2 linked regions of the Rhinolophus ferrumequinum genome follow. The protein of the gene in region 2 purifies or fractionates together with the protein of the main gene of each other region. This does not show direct contact. Links are inferred from orthologs where the notes say so. Each region holds a gene or a part of one and is shown on either strand. Other genes may lie near its edges.

Region 1 (10,224 bases), on a different chromosome or scaffold from region 2:
TATGAATTTGTACCAACTGAACAAACAGTTAACCAAGTTTACTATTTGGAAGTGCTGAAAAGGCTGCATGAAAATGTTAGAAGAAAACAACCTGAACTTTTTGCCCACAATTCATAGCTCTGGCATCACCACAATGCACCAGCTCACAGGGCACTGTCTGTGAGGGAGTTTTTAGCCAGTAAGCAAATAATTGGATTGGAACACGTTCCCTACTCACCTGATCTGGCCCCCAATGACTTCTTTCTTTACCTGAAGATAAAGGAAATATTGAAAGGAAGACATTTTGATGACATTCAGGACAGCAAGGGTAATACGACGACAGAAAAAGAGTTCCAAAATTGCTTTGAAGGGTGGACTAGGTGCTAGCGTCGGTGCACAGCTTCCCAAGGGGAGTACTTGGAAGGTGCAGGTGCCTGTAGTGATATTCAGCAATGAGGTATGGAGCACTTTTTCTAGGATGAGTTCATGAACCTAATTTCCAGACCTCATATACTAAGAAGCATTGCAGGCAGTACACAAAATGAGTAACACCGAGCTGTTGAATGGAATATGAGAAAAGACCTGACCTGGGGAAATGTGGTGTATTCATGGGACACAGAGAAGCTTAGAGCCCCACTGTAAGCAGACAGCCCACTGCAATGTCTGTCTGGTGGGAAACAGGGGCGATGAGGATGGATGTGCATACTTAGCATGGCTTTCAAAGGCCACAGTTGAGCTATGCACCTAAGCTCCTCTGCAGCAAAATGTCTGGTTCATTCATCATCCTTATTACAAATTGTAATTACTTTGCTCGTTCCTTTACTTGACCATTGTCTCCCTGTATCACACATACGCACATGGGGACTCAACTCTTCATTCCCAGAATACATGCGTTAAACCTGCCTTGTTGACTTTCCCCACTGTCTACCAGCATGCTTGGTCCACGGTAAATATTCAATAAACATATTTTGAGTAAGCAAATGAAATGTGTGTATCATCGTAATATTAATAGCTTGTAAAGATCAAATGCAGTCACATGTAAAATGACTAGCACAATGCATGACTACAACAGGCACTAGTCAATATTCCCTCCCTCCTCCCTTCTTCTCTTCCTCCCACCTCCCTCTCTCCCTTCCTCTATGAACTACTCATGGATTAATTCATACATTCAACAAATGTGCCAGGCTTCTCTCCAGACTTCGAGATAGCATAGTGAACAACAGAGAAAAAAAAATCCCTGCCTTCATGGAGCTTACATTCTGAAAGAATGACTGGTTCTTTCTGGATTTTCAGGGAGTCTTATGAAGGCAGTTATTAACAAAAAGGGGTGTGGCTTGAAGGCAGACACATCGGTGGGGGTAAGAAGAGCCTGGAGGAGGGAAGCCAATAACAGTACCACAGGGATGAAGTATAACACGGCTGGGATGAGTGACAGTTACACAACAGAGGAGTGGATATAGGAAGCAATGGGACAAGGCACCCACTGGAGTTGTATGATCCACGAGTGAGGAAGTTGCAATGATGCAAGTTTCCAATCTCGTTAGTTTGCTGTGTTGCCCTGACTAGACAGGGGAAGTTAGGAGGGGAAGCTACTGTGGTTGGTGGGTTTTGGGGTGTGGGATCAGCTACACCCAATTTTGGATACGATGCCTCTGAAGAGAGGGAAAGGAATGTAGGTGAAAGTGCTTAGTACTCAGAGTAAGCATTTAGACTACAGGTGAAAGCCAAACTCCCTTCTTATCTATTATATGAGGCCTGACAATTAAGTTCCCGAACTTGTTCCAACAATGTTGTTAACCTTCTGTTGATCAGAAGGATTACTCATTATGAATTTGTACCAACTGGATAAACAGTTAACCAAGTTTACTTTCTGGAAGTGCTGAAAAAACTGCATGAACAAGTTAGACGACCTGAACTTTTCGCCAACAATTCATGGCTTTTACATCACAACAATGTACCAACTCACAGGTCACTGTCTGTGAGGGAGTTTTTGGCCAGTAAACAAATAACTGGATTGGAACACCCTCCCTACTCACCTGATCTGGCGCCCAGTGACTTCTTTCTTTACACGAAGATAAAGGAAATATTGAAAGGAAGACATTTTGATGACATTCGGGACATCAAGGGTAATACGACGATAGCTCTGCTGGCCATTCCAGAGAAACAGTTCCACAATTGCTTTGAAGGATGAACTAGGCGCGGGCGTTGGTGCATAGCTTCCTAGGGAGAGTACTTGGAAGGTGACCGGAATGATATTCAGCAATGAGGTATGAAGCACTTTTTCTAGGATGAGTTCATGAACTTAATTGTCTGACCTTGTAAATCAGTGACATCTGAATAACATAAAACATTTCTTAATATCTGCCAGACTCCTCTGGGAATCTGCTCCTGCACAACATAATTGATAATTATCCTGTCTTTTCTCTTTTCAGTTCCTAGAACACAGTCGGGCCCTAAATAATATTTGTGAATTGAACTGGTTGACAGTAAGCAAAATCATCATGGCAAAGAGAAAAGAAAAAATGCATTTGGACTCAGTCCAAATTCTTGCTCCCTTCCTCTCTCCTACTAGTTAAAGACCGTGAGCAAATTGTTAGCCTGCATTTTAGACACTTCATGTATGCAATGGATGATCAACTCTATCTCACAGGATGTTGTGAGAGCATTAAATTAAGTCCATGCAAAGTTCAGGTCATCCAGTGGGCACAGAAAACAGGCATTTATCATAGTATTGTTATCTTTGCTTCCATACCTTTTAGGTTTGCCATGCTTTTCACCATCTCACTTAATCCACTTGCTCATTTCTAACATTCCATCCAGGCGATCCTGCTAGAAGCTGTCCTCTTGGCACGGCTACCTGCCAGCCAGCTCTCCTAAAGCTCCCACAGGCCACTGAGCTCCTCTCCTCATGGCTGGCTGGTCCGTCAGTTCTCATCACCCAATGCAACTGAAATTACTACAGCTGGCAAATTCCAAAATCACTGTCAGTACTTTAGATTTGGTGATGTTTACACCTGGCCTACAAATTGCACCTTTGTGTCCTTATTTATACACAACCTGCATCATGCAGTGTTTGAAGCAGCTTCACAGTCCAGCATTTAAAGCTACTCTGAGATAGGTATTTCACAGCAATCATAAGTAAATATGAAAACTGAAAAAGCTATGTCTATATCCTGCTTGCTTCCAAAAAGTAAGCAGGATGAGTTAATCATATTCAAGGATGTTACTTCAAACATACTGATTTCCCTCAGCGATGACTGTCATCCACTGGTCGGGGCATTGCGCTAGATAGACATTGTATAATTTACTTCCCAATGCATTTACTTCTTTCCAAAGTCTCATGCATTCTATATAAATGAGTAAAAGTGTTTTTGTAACCTTCACTTTTCTACACTCTATAGTCCACCCCAAGCTATGGCAATTTCTAATAGGAAGCACACACCAGAGACTGTGTGTGTGTGTGTGTGTGTGTGTACACGCACACACTCGCTGTATGGCCAGTGCAATGGGCTGAATGTTTGTACTCTACCCCGAAATTCCTATGTTAGAACCCTAATCTCCAAAGTGATGGTATTTGGAGGTGGGGCCTTTGAGAGGTGATGAGGTTTTAGATGTGCAGTTTAGAGTAAAGCCCCATGACGGGATTAGTGCCCTTATAAGAAAAGGGAGAGGCCAGTGTTTGCTTCCCCTGCACTTCATGTGAGGACACAGCAAGAAGGCAGCTGTCTGCAAACCAGGAAGCAGGTCCTCATCAGACACCAAATCTGTGGGCACCTTGATCTTGGACTTCCTGCCTCCAGAAGTGTGAGAAAGAAATGTGTATTCTGTGTGCCACGCCATCTGTGGTATTTTGTCATAGCAGCCTGAGCTGTGACAGCAAGTGAATACATCACAGTCCTGAAAAATCAGATTGGAGAAGGGATACCCCTGAGATGGTGAGGAGGTCCAGAGTCCATCCCAGAGGAAGTCACCACAGCCCTGAGGAATCTGCTGTGGTCACCAGCAGGGCACTGGCCACGCTGCACCAGAGCCTTGCCCTCATTTTCCATGGTGAGTCAGTCAGCAAGCGTCCCCTGATAGCAAGCGTCACCACTGCATTGCCCTGGGATCAGCATTTTAGGTGGGAGGAAGGTCCACCCTCTTTCCCCCCATATTGAGAGGACTTTTTCTCATTCTAAGGGTTCCAGGCAAACTCACAATGGTGACATTTCCTGACCAGTGGCTTAAATAAAGGGCTCTCAGAGAGCAAGATGATAACGTGGAGCATAAGCTGGTTTGCGAGGGCACTGAGCCCCAGGAATGCTCCTTGGGAGGGATACACAGCCTCCCAGTGTCAGAGAGAATAAAGGAAACCCACAGCAGGGGAGCTGTGTAGCAAAGGGTCCTGCAGCTCAACTCTGGCAGTGCACTAGGGCAGAAGTAACTGAAATGAGGTAAACAAAATATTGCCTGAAAGACGCTTGTACAAAGAAGCTAGAATAAAACCTTCAGTTGGTTCTACACTATTTTTCTTAAATGCTAGGTAACCTGCAGTACCCCTCTGCAAAAAAGAAAAAAAAATACAAGAGCCAGAAGGAGGGTTTTACTTATTCCCCCCCCCCCACCTCACCTATTCACTATAGAATCAAGATGCTTCTGTTTTTACAGAGGTTTTGGAATTAATCCTTTCAGTACTCCCTAAATTTTCTATGCACTCAAAAACAAACAAACAAACAAAAAACCCTGATTTTTTACATTGCTACTTAATTCAAAAAGACTGGCTCGCCTTCACTCTCTTCATCTCCCTTTAGAGGTAACTTTGTTCTGCATGTTTCTAATATTGCAACAATAGCCCTTGAGTGATTTACCTAGAAAGGTTTTGGTCATGGACTCTGAACACTCCCTTGGTGCTCTGGACTAAACGCTTTTTGTTCTGTAGACAGTTTTCTCTGCCCAAATTCTTCTGGAAAACAGGCCGAAAGAACCTGTGGCATTTCCCAGACACGTCACCAGAATCCTGCAGTGTGCACAGCTAAATGAACACATAAATCGATCCTCCCCCCAAACATTATGACCTTTGAGTCACATAATTGCTTTTCATTAATCAAATTGGAGTTTTAAAGCAACACTTAATTAATTCTATAATTGGCGCAGATTATACCTTTAATGACTTCCACTGTAGCACAAAAACCAGTGATCACTGAATTTGATTTTGAAACTACGGACGCTGAGTTTCCTCTTTCACCCAGAAGTTTCAGATCTTGTTCAAAGTTGGGTGTGGTTTCGTGGGGGGGGAGTGGGGGAGGCCGAGAGGAGACCCGAGGGGAGAGTGGGAAGAAACTTGGCAAGAAAAAACCCGTGTTTGGGCGGCTATCCAGGGTCTGCATATGTTTCTTGCTAAGAAGTCCGCACATTGGAGCAAAATCAGGCTTTGGCGAGTTCTTAAGAACTCCGAGGCGCTGTAGTCTCCCCTACCAGAGAACTACACACAAGAATGCGGCGGCCCGCCTCGAAGTTGGGTAAAACTTGGAAAACCAGTGCGCGCGGGGCCCGGGGAGACCTGAGTCAATCCCGTCTAACGGTTCCCGCAAACCGCTAGGAGCCCTCAACCTAGGCAGGCAGAGAGCACAGTGACTCACTGCCAGTGACTCAACGACCCCACCCCACTCCCTGGGGTCGCCGCCTCGAAGCTCACGCGGTCCAAAGCCGGACCAAGCCCGTCACGTCCCTGAACAGGAACCCTAAGGCGAAAGGGTAAAAAGAGATGCGGGCCAGAGCGATCCCTTTCCAAGCCCAACACGCGAGGCGGCACCGGGGCCCGAGCCCTGCGTCCTGGGCTGTGCGCCCCCCACCTCGCGCTCCAATCTCAGGCGCTCTTTGTTTCTGTTACCACGCCTTCCAATCTGCTGGATCCCTTACTCCCCCTCTTCCTACTCCTTTGCCGGTGCGTCTCCGCACCCACCCGCTCCCCGACCGCTCTTGTAGCCACCCGCCCCTCCCAATTGCGCGCCTCCTCCCACGCCTCTTTGGCGAGGTGCCCGGGACCCCTTTGATCCAGTCTTGGGTGCGTTCCCCCACCAACGTGCGACCCCGCCTTTTTCAGCACCCAGGGGTGAGCAGAGCTCAGGCCATCATCAGGAAAGCCCCCAAAAGTCCCTGCCCAGCCAAGAAGTAACGGGACCATGCTCAGTCGCGAGAGCCGAGGAGCAGGGAGGAGGAAGACTCCAAAGTGCCCACGCCCCAACCCCCTCCCACCCTTCCCGCTACTCGCCGGGTCCCCATTGGCTGGCGAACTCCGGATGGAGGTGGGAGGGGACCCTTTACCATCAACGTTATAAAAACTGCGCCCTCGGCGGGGTCCCGTCCTCTGCCACTCTCGCTCCAGGGTCTCCGCGCCAGAGACGCAGCAGCGTTCCCACCGCCCACACCCACCGCGCCCTTGCTCGCCTCTGCCCGGAGCCAGTCCGCGCCGCCACAGCCACCCAGCCCATTGCCACCCTCCGCAGCCATGTCCACCAGGTCCATGTCCTCGTCCTCCTACCGCAGGATGTTCGGCGGCCCCGGCACCGCCAGCCGGCCGAGCTCCAGCCGGAGCTACGTGACCTCGTCCACCCGCAGCTACAGTCTGGGCAGCGCTCTGCGCCCCAGCACCAGCCGCAGCGTCTACGCCTCGGCCCCCGGCGGTATGTACGCTACGCGCTCCTCGGCGGTCCGCCTGCGGAGCGGTGTCCCGGGCTTGCGGCTGCTGCAGGACTCGGTGGACTTCTCGCTGGCCGACGCCATCAACACCGAGTTCAAGAACACCCGCACGAACGAGAAGGTGGAGTTGCAGGAGCTGAATGACCGCTTCGCCAACTACATCGACAAGGTGCGCTTCCTGGAGCAACAGAACAAGATCCTGCTGGCCGAGCTCGAGCAGCTCAAGGGCCAGGGCAAGTCGCGACTGGGGGACCTCTACGAGGAGGAGATGCGGGAGCTGCGCCGGCAGGTGGACCAGCTCACCAACGACAAGGCCCGCGTCGAGGTGGAGCGCGACAACCTGGCCGAGGACGTTATGCGGCTCCGGGAGAAGTAAGGCGACGCCCACGCGGGGCCGCGGGAGGGAGGGAGAGGGGTTCGCGCCCCCCCCCAAGAGGAGCTGCCACGCCCTTGGGGATGTAACCGGGGCGGCGGCAGCGGGGGGTGGGGGGGGGAGGGGGGATAGCAGCGAAGCGGGGATGTGGCTGCGATGGCTCAGCCCGGCCCGGAACCCAGACTTTGCAGTTCCCCTCTACACCCACTCATTGCTTAAGAACGCCCGTTTCAGGTTGCATTTTTTTTTGAAAGTGCCAGTTGTTAGTTGAAGGCCCTTGCAAACGATGAGCGCAGTTCGTTCAAACTCTTAGAAAGTTTCCTGGCCCCTTCTGGCGGACTGCCAGCCCTGAGGCGGGGGTGGGGGGGGGTAGAAACTGTGCCGGAAGCTAGACAAAGGGGTTGCAGAGGCTTCTCGGGGACGGGGTGACGGCGTTCGCCTTGCAGGTAGGTCCCTGCGACCACCGTGATTGCTTTTCTACTCTGCGACCCAAGTCCCGCTAAAACTTGTCGAGGGTGACAGTTCCGAAAGCTGCAGTCGCTGGGTGCCCGCGGAGGTGGCGCAGCAACTATTGTCTCGCTGCACAGCGACTTGGTGGTTGGGTGTGGCCGCCCCGCCCCTGGCGGTTTCCCAGTTCCCCTCTGGTTAATGTGCAACTGTTTCAGATTGCAGGAGGAGATGCTTCAGAGAGAGGATGCCGAGGGAACCCTGCAGTCTTTCAGACAGGTTTGTAGATCCTCTTCCCATTCGCAGCCACTGGACCCCACCCAACCAACCCAAGCCACGCGCAATTCTAAAAGTTACCCCAAGTCTAAGAGTGCAAAACTTCACGTCTGTGCGCAAAGCCCCCTAGTGGCAAAAAGACCCCAGATTGGAGCTTCCTCGATAAAATCCCTAGGATGATTGTTCTTAAGGACAGAGTCTTTAACTTTTTACTTTGTTTCCAGATTTTTTCCAAAGAAATATTTTTTCCGTTTATTTCTTGCAACACATTGATAATCTGATTTACAACAGTTACAGTTTGAGTGAGATTGCTGTTTGTGAAGTCAAGTTGGCTAACTTTTTACAAAGCCACAAAAAGCGCAATTCTGCCCTGTAGTTAAAAATGTAAAACGTGTTGGAGGATAAGAAAGTTAGCTTAACTGGAACGAAGCCAGCAAGGTTTTCTCCTTTGCAAATTCTATTGTGGCATTAAAATTAGATGGAAGTATCGCTATGCACAACTATTTTGTGGTCTAATAAGTGTGAAAAGGAGCCATCTGTCCTCTGGCTGAAAGGTATTAATGGTTTCTCTGGGCTTCACTATGGAATGTAGATACAGACTCTGGCTAGTGTGATGGCTCTGGACAGAAATAATAGGAGTCTTTGTGTTCCCAGAGAAGCTTTGCAACAGGCTACATTCTTATTGAATATGTAATGATGTAAGCACAATTCTAATTGGACACAAGTATTTGCTAACATCCGTTATCTAATATCTGGCCCAGACTTGTGAAGTATGTGATGTGAAAAGTTCTTAAAGCTACAATCATGCCTCACATTTGGAAAGGTCTTAATACTTTTTAACTTCTCTCCATAAATAAAGAATAACCCCAAGGCTGAAAAATGGAATTTTAATTAAAGGGGTTTTTTGTGTTGTTTTTTTGTTTGTTTTTGCTCCAAAGTTAGATGGATTTAAAGGATTTTTTTAAACTTAAAGTTGGAATTCAAAAGCAGGAAGAGTTCCCAGCATAGCTGAATAACAATTTGAAGCAGAAATACATTTGCCAAAATAATTTAAACACAGCAATGTGTGGTCATTTTAGTCATTGGGCATTTATGATCATCATATTTGTAATGTTTTTCAGGGTAGTGAGTTAACATAAAACAGTATTAGTATAAAAGATCTGTTTAGGGATTAAGTAACATTCCTCATATTCTCTTCAATGAAGTAGAATGTCACATTATACTTTTTAAAATAGAGGCTAGCAAGTTATTTCTTACATCTTTTTTTTAGGGCTTACTAACAAGCAAAAATGAATTTTTCCAAAGCCTCATTATTTTTAAATCATCACCCATTCCTCAGTTACATTCCCATAAAGGTAGAAGAAGTATCAACATTTTAAGACGATAAGGCTATAAAACTATACTCCAAAGATAACCGCTTACAAGATCAGAGGTATAAAAATCCTTATGATATTCCCTTGAGGGGAAATAAAATCTGAGTTGTAACACAGTGGGAACTCAGAAGGAGAGCCAAAGTAGCAAGAATTCTACATATACAGTAGTTTCATTATATGCAAAAGTTTTGATCAGTCATTCTGAAACTAAGTAACTGAATTGACACAGTGCTAAGTGAAAAGGATGGACACACCCTGTAGAATGAGGCAGGGGTTTCAGAAAGGAAAAAAATTCACCAGCGAAAGCAAAGAAAATACAGTTCAGAGTTACATTTCTTTTCATGATTTGCTTGATCTGCATCTTTGCCAGTGTCCATCCTGAATTGGAGTATTAATCTAGCTTTGTAACTTGAATGCCAGATGACTCCATATTTGCTTTGGATCGTAAGGATCCAATTCAGGAGATTTGAGCAGAGGGGGTTGGAAATAGAGCTTTGGTACACACATTTGAAGTGCAAATTTCTGTTCTACATGTACTCATGCATTTATGAAGTTGTGACATCTGGTCAACTCCTAGCATTGCATTATTCCATGACATTTCAAAAAAAATTTTTTTAATGCTGTGGCATTGATTTTCCAAATTAAAAAAAAAAAAAAAAAAAAAAAAAAACTTCACTGGTATAATGTGGATTCAGTAGTAATTTACCGAGTACAGTTTACCATGGTGGGATACATTTATTTATTTTTAAATTGTCTGTTAGTCACCTTGAGTACACCACAGTGGGTCACAATTCAAATTTTTTAATGAAGAGAAGAAAACATAGTATATTAAGCACTGGGTAATTTACAAACTTACTCGAAAGTCATAAAATTTGTCAACACCCTTTTTATACTAAATACAATGAGCTCAGATGGTTAATTTGAAATGACTAAATAAGCCATAGACTTTAGCATCTTCAATGTCTTGTCTTTTCTCTTTTCAAAATAGGATGTTGACAATGCTTCTTTGGCACGTCTTGACCTTGAGCGTAAAGTGGAATCCTTGCAAGAAGAAATTGTCTTTTTGAAGAAACTGCATGAGGAGGTAAGCGGAGTCCC
Region 2 (10,039 bases):
TGTCAGTAGGTGGAAATGCAGGTACTGCTGGGATGCACTGGAAAGAGCCCATTTCCCCAAAATCAAATCCTTCCCGACTTCAGGCAGCTGACATCATTTGTCTAGTCGCGCAGGCTCTGCCTCAAATCCTGTCTGATCTGCTGATCCCTTCCTTTCCATGTTTACTCATCTCTAGACTTTCCCATTCTTGCGTCATCCCCTCACCTGTTTCTGAGCCAGATCAAACTACACTGCTTTCACGAGTCACCCTTCTGTTCAGAAACCTAACCAATAGGTTATTCGGTGCCTTGTCCTGGTACTTCCTGTACGTGAAAACTGTTTTGCCAGGCTGGCCTGTGCACCGCCCCTACTTACCTTTCATATGCCTCTCTGCCTCTTAGCTCATACTATTCCCCTCAGCCCCTATTTCTATTGTTTTGCTCTGCCTGGCTCATGCCCCATCACCCATGGAGTCCCAACTCAAGCTCCTCCTTCCTGTATAACCAGCTCTGACAACCCAGCCCACAGCCACCTTTCCTTCTGGAGGAGTCCTAAAGCACTATCTATAAGCTAATACACCTTGCACGGTAACTTTTACTTCTTAGAAAAATGGAAGTCTACCTTGTGTTGTCTACTAGTCTCTAAACTCCACAGAGCAGAAGCAGCATTTTGTAGAGTAATCCTTTATCAACCATGGTTTTGAGAATGTGATATAGCTTTTTAACTTTTTATTTTGAAATAATTTAGACTCACGGAAGTTGCAAAAAGATAGTACAGAGTGCCCTGTGTACCCTTCACCCAGTTTCCCCCAATGGTGACATTTTATAAAGCATCAGTACAGTGTCAAAATCAGGAAAGCAACTGGTATACCACTGTTCACTACAGACCTTACTCAGTTTTCACCATCTTTTTTAACCCACATTCATTTGTGTGTGTGTGTGTGCGCATGTGTGTAGCTCTATGCAATTTTATCCCATGCATAGGCTCAAAAAACTCCTTTGTGTTACCTCTTTGTATTTGTGCCACCCCCTACCCCGGCCCTACCCCCTGTCATTCACTGATCTGTTTTCCATATCGATAGTTTTGTCATTTAAAGAAAGTTATATAAATGGAATCACCCAGTATAACCTTCCGGGACGGACTTTTTTCACTCAGCACAATGCCCTTGAGGTTCGCGTAGCTGGTTACCACCATCAGCAGTTAATTCCTTATTATCGCTTGGTATCCCACTGTATGGATACGAGAGTTTAACAATCCACCTGCAGAAGGACGGTTCAGTTGTGTATACTATTTTGCTGTTATGAATGATGCTATGATTTCTGTACAGGGTTTTAAACCATTTTTTAAGAACTGTGGTAAAATATACATAACATAAAACTGACCATTAAAACCATTTTTAAGTGCACAGTTCAGTGGCATTAAGTACATTCACATTGTTGTACAACCATCACCACCATCCAGCTCCAGAACATTTTTCATCTTGCAAATCTCAAATTCAATACCCATTAACCCGTAACTCCCCAGCCCTTCTCCTTCCAGCTCCTGGCGGCCCCCATTTTACTTTATGTCTCTATGCATTTGACAACTCTAAGTACCGCAGATGAGCGGAAGCCTGAGACTGTGTCTTTTTGTGTCTGGCTTATTTCACTTAGCATATTGTCCCCAAGGTTCATCCATGTTGTAGCATATGTCGGAATTTCCTTCCTTTTTAAGGTGAATATTACATTGTATGTATATTCCACATTTGCTTATTTATCCATCCATTGATGCACACGTGGGTTGCTTCCACCTTCTGACTATTCTGAATAATGCTGCTATGAACACAGGTGTACAAATACCTGTTCAAATCCCTGCTCTCAATTCTTTGGGGTGTACGCCCAGAAGTGAAATTGCTGGATCATATGATAATTTCATTTTTAATTTCTGGGGGAACTACCACACTGTTTTAGATAGCAGCAAGTTGTGTACAGGTTTTTGTGTGAATACAAGTTTTTATTTCTCTGGGTAAACGCCCAAGACTGCAATGGCTGGGTCATATGGTACTGCATGTTTAATTTTGTAAAAATCTGCTCATTATTTTCCAGAGTTGTTGTACCATTTTATATTCTCACCAGCAGTCCAGTTTCTCTGCATCTTCACCAGCATTTGGTATTATCACTATTTTTTTTTTTAAATTTTAGCTGTCCTAATAAGTATGCAGTGATATCACATTGTGTTTTCAATCTGCATTTCCCTAATGGCATTCCCTGATGCTGAATATCTTTTCATATACTTATTTGGCATCTGTATCTCCTCTTGGTGAAATACACACTCATGTCTTTTGCCTATTTTATAACTGGATTGTTGTTTTTTTTTTCCCCACATGCCTCCATCTAAAAGGAGTAGCCTTTCTTTTACTTTGTCTGGTCTGACACCATATGGAATTTTAGCATTAGAGTTGCCAGCGCTGGTGATTATTTTCAAAAGTGGAACACCTGAATTTTTAATATTAATCATCAACTAATTAAACATTTTAAGACACAGTAGGGTAAAATGTAAGAAAAGGATGTACAGATAATAAGCTCAGAAGGACCAAGCTCCTCAGTTAAAAAAAAAAAAAAGCCTCCATAATTCTAAGCAGGATTATCAAATTTCCCACCTTTGGCTTCTGCCAGTTAAGCTGTAGCAAAAGACAAGGACAGTGGCTGGGGACTAGGTCAGATGTCACCTGTCGTCCCAAACTAGCCTGAGCTCAAACATGAGACATTCTGGCTGAGTAACAAGAACTGGGCTGGAAACCAGGAAACATGCTTGGTCCTTAACCAGAGGTGTCCTTGGGCAAGTGACTCCATCTTCCACCACCTCAGCCCTAAATTGTCAATTGTAGGGGTTGTACTAACAGTGGCTCCAAACCCCAGGAAGAAGGCTGAACTCCCAAAAAGAGGAGAGAATTCTGCCAGCATGTGGCTTTCACACTTGAACTACAACAATGGCTCTTCCCTGGGTCTCCATCCTGCCTACCTACCCAAACGATTTTTGGGAGACTTGCCAGCCTCCAGAATTGCAGAGCCAACTCCTTAAAATAAACCTCTTTTTCTATAAACACATCCTATTGGTTCTGTATCTCTAGAGAACGCTGACTAATACAGATTTTGGTAGAGGAGAAACAGAGAGAGGTCTCTGGGCTATTTTAAGCATTTAAAAGAGCCTAATAACATATTCACTCTCTCCTAATAACGCTCACAGGTTGACTAAAAACTGTTAGGTGTGCTATTTTCTCCTGCTGTTCATGGTTTTACTTTGATTTCAGCTGTGTCACTAATTGTTTGGCTAAACTGTGGAGGCAGACTGGCTCAGTGGTTAAGGGTACAGGCCTTGGAGAGTCAGACTTTGGGCACTGCTCTTTATTAGCTGTGTGACTTCGGGCAAGTTACTTCACCTCTCTGAGTACGTTTCCTCATCCATAAATTGGGGATGACCACTACCTCAGGGATAGAAGCGTTGTGACTTGTCATTAAATTTTACAAAATTTACGCAGAGTCATTAGCAATGGTGCAACAGGAGCTGTAATTAGCAGCATTATCTTCCAAAACGTGCTGTTTGAGGAAGGGAAGACAGTAAAACAAATGGGAGGTGCTGGCCCCATACCAGGAGATCAGTTAACACCGAAAATGAGCCTTAATCGGTGATTTGCAAGGAATTTCCGGGTCTGACAAGGATAAATATTGATCCAGGGCCCCCGTCAGTCAATGCCCCCAGCCCCGCCCCTCGCCACGCCCACACCCTAGCACCGCCCCTCACAACGCTCAAGCCCCGGCTCACATCCCCAGCCCCGTCCCCCATCGACTTAAAGTCCCGCTCCTAGCGTGACACTGGGCTCCATCCTCGCTGTCCGCGGCCAGTGCTCACCTGGATCTCCTGACAGGCCGAGGCCGCCCGCCGGCCCTCCGCCTGCTTCTCCTCGACGAGGCCCAGCCCCAGCCCGAAGGCCAGAAAGACGGCCCGGCCGCAAGGGCCCGCGCCGCCCCGGGCCCGCACCACGAACTGCCGCTGGAGCCGCGCCGCCAGCCCGGCCACCGACTGGCGGAAGAAGCGGTAGCGGTCGGGGAGCCCGAGCCCGAGCCTGTGCGGCTCCGCGCCGGGTCCCGCGGCCTGGCCCGGGCGCTCTCCGCGGCCCCAGGCCGCCGCGGGGCCCGGCCGCTCTGGCCGCCCCCAGCCGTAGACCGGGCCAGGCTTGGCCGTGAAACGCAGCAGCAGCGCCCGACCCAGCTGCAGGCCCCGACCCAGCGCCTGTCGCACCGCCATAGTAGCGCCGCGACCAAGTGCACCAGCAGCCGCAGGCGTCGGGGACGCCGGTCACAACAAGAAACTTTGGGGCGGTGCCTCTGCGCAGGCGCGGAGGCCGATGGGCGGGGTCGCCGATCTGGCGGTTCCCTGGCTGGGCGCGCGGGGGCGCTGTGCGCGCACCTGGCTGCGGGTAGTTGCTTGCCCTTTTGCACTTTGGACCCAGGGTGGAGGGGTTGCGTGTCAGGCAGGTCCAGATTGTGAACAGTCGAGAAGTTGAGAAGGAAAACTAATGTTTATTGAGTATCACCCGTGGTGCCAGAGTCTTTACAACTGTTAATTTATTTAATATTCCCACCAAGAAGATAGGAATATCATTTTTATAGGTAAGGAAACTGACTCATAGAAAGGGCAGTGACAATCAGGTGACATTCAAGTTCATTTGCCATAACTATTGAGTCCTTACTCTCCCCAATGCCTTTAAGCTCCTCTCTACAAACGCACAGCCCCTGCTCACTTCTTAGTACTCCAAGAGAAATCCCACCCAAAGGCGACATTTTTCAGATGAACGACATTTTTCAGATGAGTGAGCTGAATTCCGGAGACATGGAAGGATTTGCCCAGTCACAGCTTGTTGGTGGCAGAGCCCTGTTACCCAAACCCACTGTTAGAAATGCTGATGAAAGGATTTATAATGAGTGATTTCTTTTTTTCTTGCCTTTTTAAAAAAAATTTTTATTGGGGAATATTGGGGAACAGTGTGTTTCTCCAGGGCCCATCAGCTTCAAATAGTTGTCCTTTAATCTAGTTGTGGAGGACACAGCCCAGCTCCAAGTCCAGTCGCGGTTTTTAATCTTAGTTGCAGGGGGCGCAGCCCACCATCCCATGCGGGAATTGAACTGGCAACCTTGTTGTTAAGAGCTCACGCTCTAACCAACTGAGCCATCCAGCCGCCCGTTTCTTGCCTTTTTTTAAAAACGGAAAATTTCAAACACAAAAATAGTATAGTGAACCCTATGTACACATTCACCTGCTTCAACAAATTATCAACAAACGGTCATTAGTTTATTTATCTATACTGTTAAAGAAAAGAAAAAACAGGTCCCACATGGTATCACTGATGCTAAAAGCCCATGATACCAAACCCATATTTAATACCAGATCTAATTGCAGTTTCGACTTCTCCCAGAAACATAATCAACCAATATGGAATTTTCTGGTCAAGCCCCAATAAGGTAACATACTTGTAAGCCCTCTCCATTGGGACAATCTACATAATAAAACCCTTCACTTTCCCACAGAAAAGATGTCCCTGTCACAAAATAATCCTTTTCTTCCATTATTAGCTTCCTTGCCCCACTCCGCTTCCTGTAAAAATTTTCCATTTTATACAACTCTTGGGAGCACTCTCTTCTAGTTACTGGAGGGGATGTTGCCTGATTCATGAATCACTTAATAAAGTCAATTAGATCTTCAGATTTACTTGGTTGAATTTTGTTTTTTAACAATACCTTTCTACTACCCCCCCTTACTTTAAAGCAAATCCCAGATGTATTATTTCATTTATAAACATTTCGGTATCTACGAGCACCTAAAAGATAAGAACTATTTTTAAAAATCATAAACAGTGTCACCTCTAAAAGATTAACATTAATTCCATAATATTAGTTACTATCCTGTTGATATTCAGTTTCACATCTCTTGCTTCCTCTTTAAATACTAAATCGAAGTACATGTAGATGGTAGCTGTTGCTGGAGGAAGTCTTCGATCATCTGAAGAGTTCTGGCCCCCCAGGCTTGCTTGGTCATATGGTGGATCCCTGGCTAGGGACAGGTGGACAACTGATTCAACAGTGTATGTGTATGTGTTCTGATTGCTCTCATGGGGAGAAATTGCAGGGCCCTTGTGATATCCAATGACATTTATTTGGGAGAGACATAAATAGATAAATAAATCAATTTCTTTCCAATTTATTTACAGATATGGACAAAAAAGAGGGCACACACTAAACCTGACGAGCTCAGGGGAGGCCAGCATGGCAGGCCTTACAAACTCAAAGACTGAAAGTAACTACACAGGATGGGCTGAATATAAAAATTCCTAATAAAAGCTAGGCATGATGGGTAGTCATGTCCTATGCCTGTAGTTTCCTTGACAAAAAGGTCAATCTTTACCTTAAGTGAGCCTGTCTATTGTCTTTTTGCACCTAAGATAACGAGCCCTTGGAATGTCAGTGTACTCTCCTTTTCCAGACCCCTCAGACCAGAGCAAGAGACCCACAGAACACCTCACTGTTATCTTGTTCCCCGAATACCATCTCTATGTGCTATAACTGTTCATTATGAACTATCCTGTACCCACCAATGTAAAAGAAGTATGTCTCTCTGTTTTACTTTTTATCCAATCCCAGAGACTTCCCTGCTTTGCTTTCTCCCGCCCCCTTAATCTACCACCAATGGATTTCATGTAACCCTCTTTACGTCTCCTCCTTTGATTCTAATGTATAAAATAAAGCTGCAAAACTGCCATTCTCCAGAGCATTTTCTCAATCCGTTGAGATTTTGCTTCCTGGCAATTGTTGTCAGTTTGGCCCAAATAAACTCATAAAAATTCTCTACAGATTTGGACGTTTCATATGTTGACACAGAGGCACGTGGAAATCAGATATTGTCTTTAATTTTTTTTTGGTTGATCTCAGGGAATTTTAAATTACAGTTTAAAATGCTCTGTTGAAATTGTCCTTTAGAGAAAGATATGAAAGAGAGGATCAGAGAAACTTCACTGTCTAGAAAGAAATTCAGTTGGGGCAAAGGACTCGTTTAAAGTTTAAGTCTATTCATCTGCTATGTGTCATTATCAGTACAGCACTTTAGTGTTTACTGAGAGGGAACAAGAGATCTTCTAAGACCTTTAGTTTTAACTACGAGAATTTTCTTTCCTAGGAATGTAACATTTTGCCATGAGGCTAGAGATAACTACATAGCTGGTACTGTAAGGGTGAAACTTGGGAATCAATAACACAGATTTATCTAGTTTGCAGTTTGGATCTCCTCATAGTTCGCTATTTAGCCTCCTGATATTCAGCTGTTTTCTCTTTGGTTTTTGCCCTCACTGCCTGATTTAATAACTCTGCTCTGTTCCCTTTCTGAAGACTATACATACCTTGTTGATCTAATTAATCAGCAGAACATTAACCTGGAAAGAACAATTTCTCAATTTTCTGCCGCCTGGACACCGGGATCCATGGTTGCAACTCCCTTGCAATTTTTGCTGATGATGCACGAAACACTCCAGCCCCGGCTACTGATTTCGAGATAATATTATGAAGCAGACCAGTCCATGGGAGGCGATTTCTCAGACCAGGCCCTGGGAGGCAATTTCTCAACTGTCAGCCCTGAAACATTTACATGACCAACTCCCACTTTTCTTTGTTCTTTCCCCCACCCGCCTGCTTGATTATAAAACCTCTTGATTATTCTCAGTTCCGAAAAGGTGTTTTTTTTTCTGGACGTTTGTCTGCCTTCTTCGCTAGCTGCCGGCATCTAGAATAAAGTACGCTTTTCTTCTCATCAACCGTTGTCATTCAGGTTCTTGGTGTTGACAAGCAGTGCCGGGCCTGAGTCTGGTAATAGTAAGACATATTACCTAAAGGGACATTGTATTAGTTGTTTTAAGTTCAAGAGTGCATTGGTTATCAACCTTTGGATTTAGTCCTCTAAGCTGCAAATACACTTGCCAGACCTGTGATGCTTAACCCACCCACCTGTGGAAATCAAATCTCCAGACCATTGTAGGCTGTGTAGTTTCTTGTTCAACAGAGAATGCTGGACTTTGGTCAAGATGGCACTAGACTGGTTCACTTCTTCTGTAGAAAACTCTAAGTTGTTTGGACAGATCTGAACCAAGCACAGCATGAAGCTGGATTCTTCAGCAGCCATCTGGCTGGAAGCAAAGAGTCTTCTACACAGAGTCTTCCAGTAAGAATTGCAGGGATTCTGTGTTCCTCTTTCTCAGGGCAATAATATAACCTTATCATGGAGAGGCACCAGGCTACCTTTCTTTGGGACCACGACCCTGATTCCTTTTGTCCCCCTCTGTTCTCAGAGAAGGAAAAGTCTTTCCATGGTGGCAGGTCTCAGGGGATGGTCCTGAGATTCTCGCATAGCATCTTCCACCTCTTTAGAGGTATCCCTAAAAGGGGAAGTTGGGGATATGGTATGTGGTTTTCTGACGAGATATCTGTTTCTACTGCAGATTTACTATTCTACAGAAGAGCCTCCCGTTCTTAGAAGATTATTAAATATCACTAGGTGCCAGACAGGCTTTGATAAGCTCCGTCACAAGGACTAGAGAACGGAGTGGTAGGGGAGCTGTTCTTCTCTGCTGTACACCCTGCTCTGTTATCATTGTACCCTTTTTCCTCTAGGCATCAGGACCATGTAGTTTGGTGAAGTACATAATATTCCTAAGACGCATCGTTTAACCTTCCCCCAAAGGACACGGTGGGATAAAAAGCTGATGCTAATATAAAAATGGAAAAAGACAAGACTTAAAAAAGAAACAAACAAAAAAAGAACTGTTGAGGGCAATTTGACCTTCCTCTTTGAACGGTGTCCTTCATCTCCTCCTGGCAGGAGACAGACATCTTTTCCCAGAGCAGCAACGTCCTTTATCCACAGCCCTTTTCAGAAATGCTATCTCTAAATTGCCCACACAAGTGGAAGGAGTTTCTGCTGAAACTGTTGACAGAGCAAACCCTGCTTTCTGCCAGATCAAAATCCAGCTACTTGAAACTCCTGAGCTATAGTTTTTGGAGGTTAAAATCAGACAACAGTGGGCAGAGAGTGAGATTTCCCTGGGAAGAAGCATCTCTGTTTTGCCTGGACAAAATGTGATGCTGGTGGATTACGGAGATGTGTAGCTAAGAAATTCAGACAATCTGTGGTTCATGCAGTCCAATAAATTTGCTGCCCTGCAGTGATTATTCAAAGTAAAAATATGACTATGTCACCTACTGTACAAAGTCCTTCACAGGCTCTTGGCCTCTGCCCTTTGCCCTAAGGATAAAATCTAAGCTCCTTAGTTTGGCACAGAAGGCCCTTCACTATTTGGCCCTAGCATCTTTCTTGCTGTGCCCTTTCCCTACCTTCATGAATTACTTGCCATTGTCCCAAGCATCATGCTGATCCCGTCTTGATTTGCCTCTTAAAAGAATCCCCGGTCACATTTGAGGCCACCTCCTCCAGGAAGCCTTCCTTGACCTTTCCTAGACTGGGCTAGATGCCCCCTCTAAACTGTGAGATCTGTAAGAACAGAAATTGTCATTTTTAAAGCTTAGGCCCCACCCCCGACCCTCCCAGCTCTCAGCAGAGGGCCTTCTGGATCTCCAGTGCTTCTTTGACAGCCTTCTGGGAACACAAACTCCCAATCACATGACTCACTCCTTCTTCCCAGCATTGAGACAGAGGGAAGCCATAGGAATGTCAAATAGTTCACACCCCCCACCCACCCCCCAAACAGAATCACCTACTGCATTTGTGCTCTTGAATTTACACTACATTATTGGTAAAATAATTTCCTTTCTATAGCTTCTTTCTTTTTATTCCCTTTCCATTTTTTTAAATTAGAAAATCCTTTAAATAAAAGCATTATGTATATGTGGTTTAAAAAACACTCACAATATATATAGATAGGCTCAATCATGAAAAGCAACAATCTCCTCTTCTGACTCCTTCTAAGCCCAGAGGTAACAATATTTTACTCTTTTAGCTATTTCTTCTGTGGTTTCCCTCAGCT

The links. The genes of interacting proteins can lie anywhere in the genome.
Region 1: the proteins of PINK1 (region 2) and VIM purify together in Homo sapiens (affinity purification with mass spectrometry; 3 studies listed by BioGRID and IntAct, with this or other methods). This does not show direct contact. The link is inferred for Rhinolophus ferrumequinum from reciprocal best matches to the Homo sapiens genes PINK1 and VIM.

The regions. Positions count from the first base shown.
Region 1 is NW_022680355.1:3,289,510-3,299,733, forward strand, and holds the start of VIM (vimentin), read left to right. Parts: upstream 1-6,329; 5' UTR 6,330-6,466; coding exon 6,467-7,029; intron 7,030-7,695; coding exon 7,696-7,756; intron 7,757-10,114; coding exon 10,115-10,210; intron 10,211-10,224. UniProt on the Homo sapiens protein: Vimentins are class-III intermediate filaments found in various non-epithelial cells, especially mesenchymal cells. Vimentin is attached to the nucleus, endoplasmic reticulum, and mitochondria, either laterally or terminally.
Region 2 is NC_046292.1:13,913,787-13,923,825, reverse strand, and holds the start of PINK1 (serine/threonine-protein kinase PINK1, mitochondrial), read right to left. Parts: upstream 4,308-10,039; 5' UTR 4,264-4,307; coding exon 3,868-4,263; intron 1-3,867. UniProt on the Homo sapiens protein: Serine/threonine-protein kinase which acts as a sensor of mitochondrial damage and protects against mitochondrial dysfunction during cellular stress.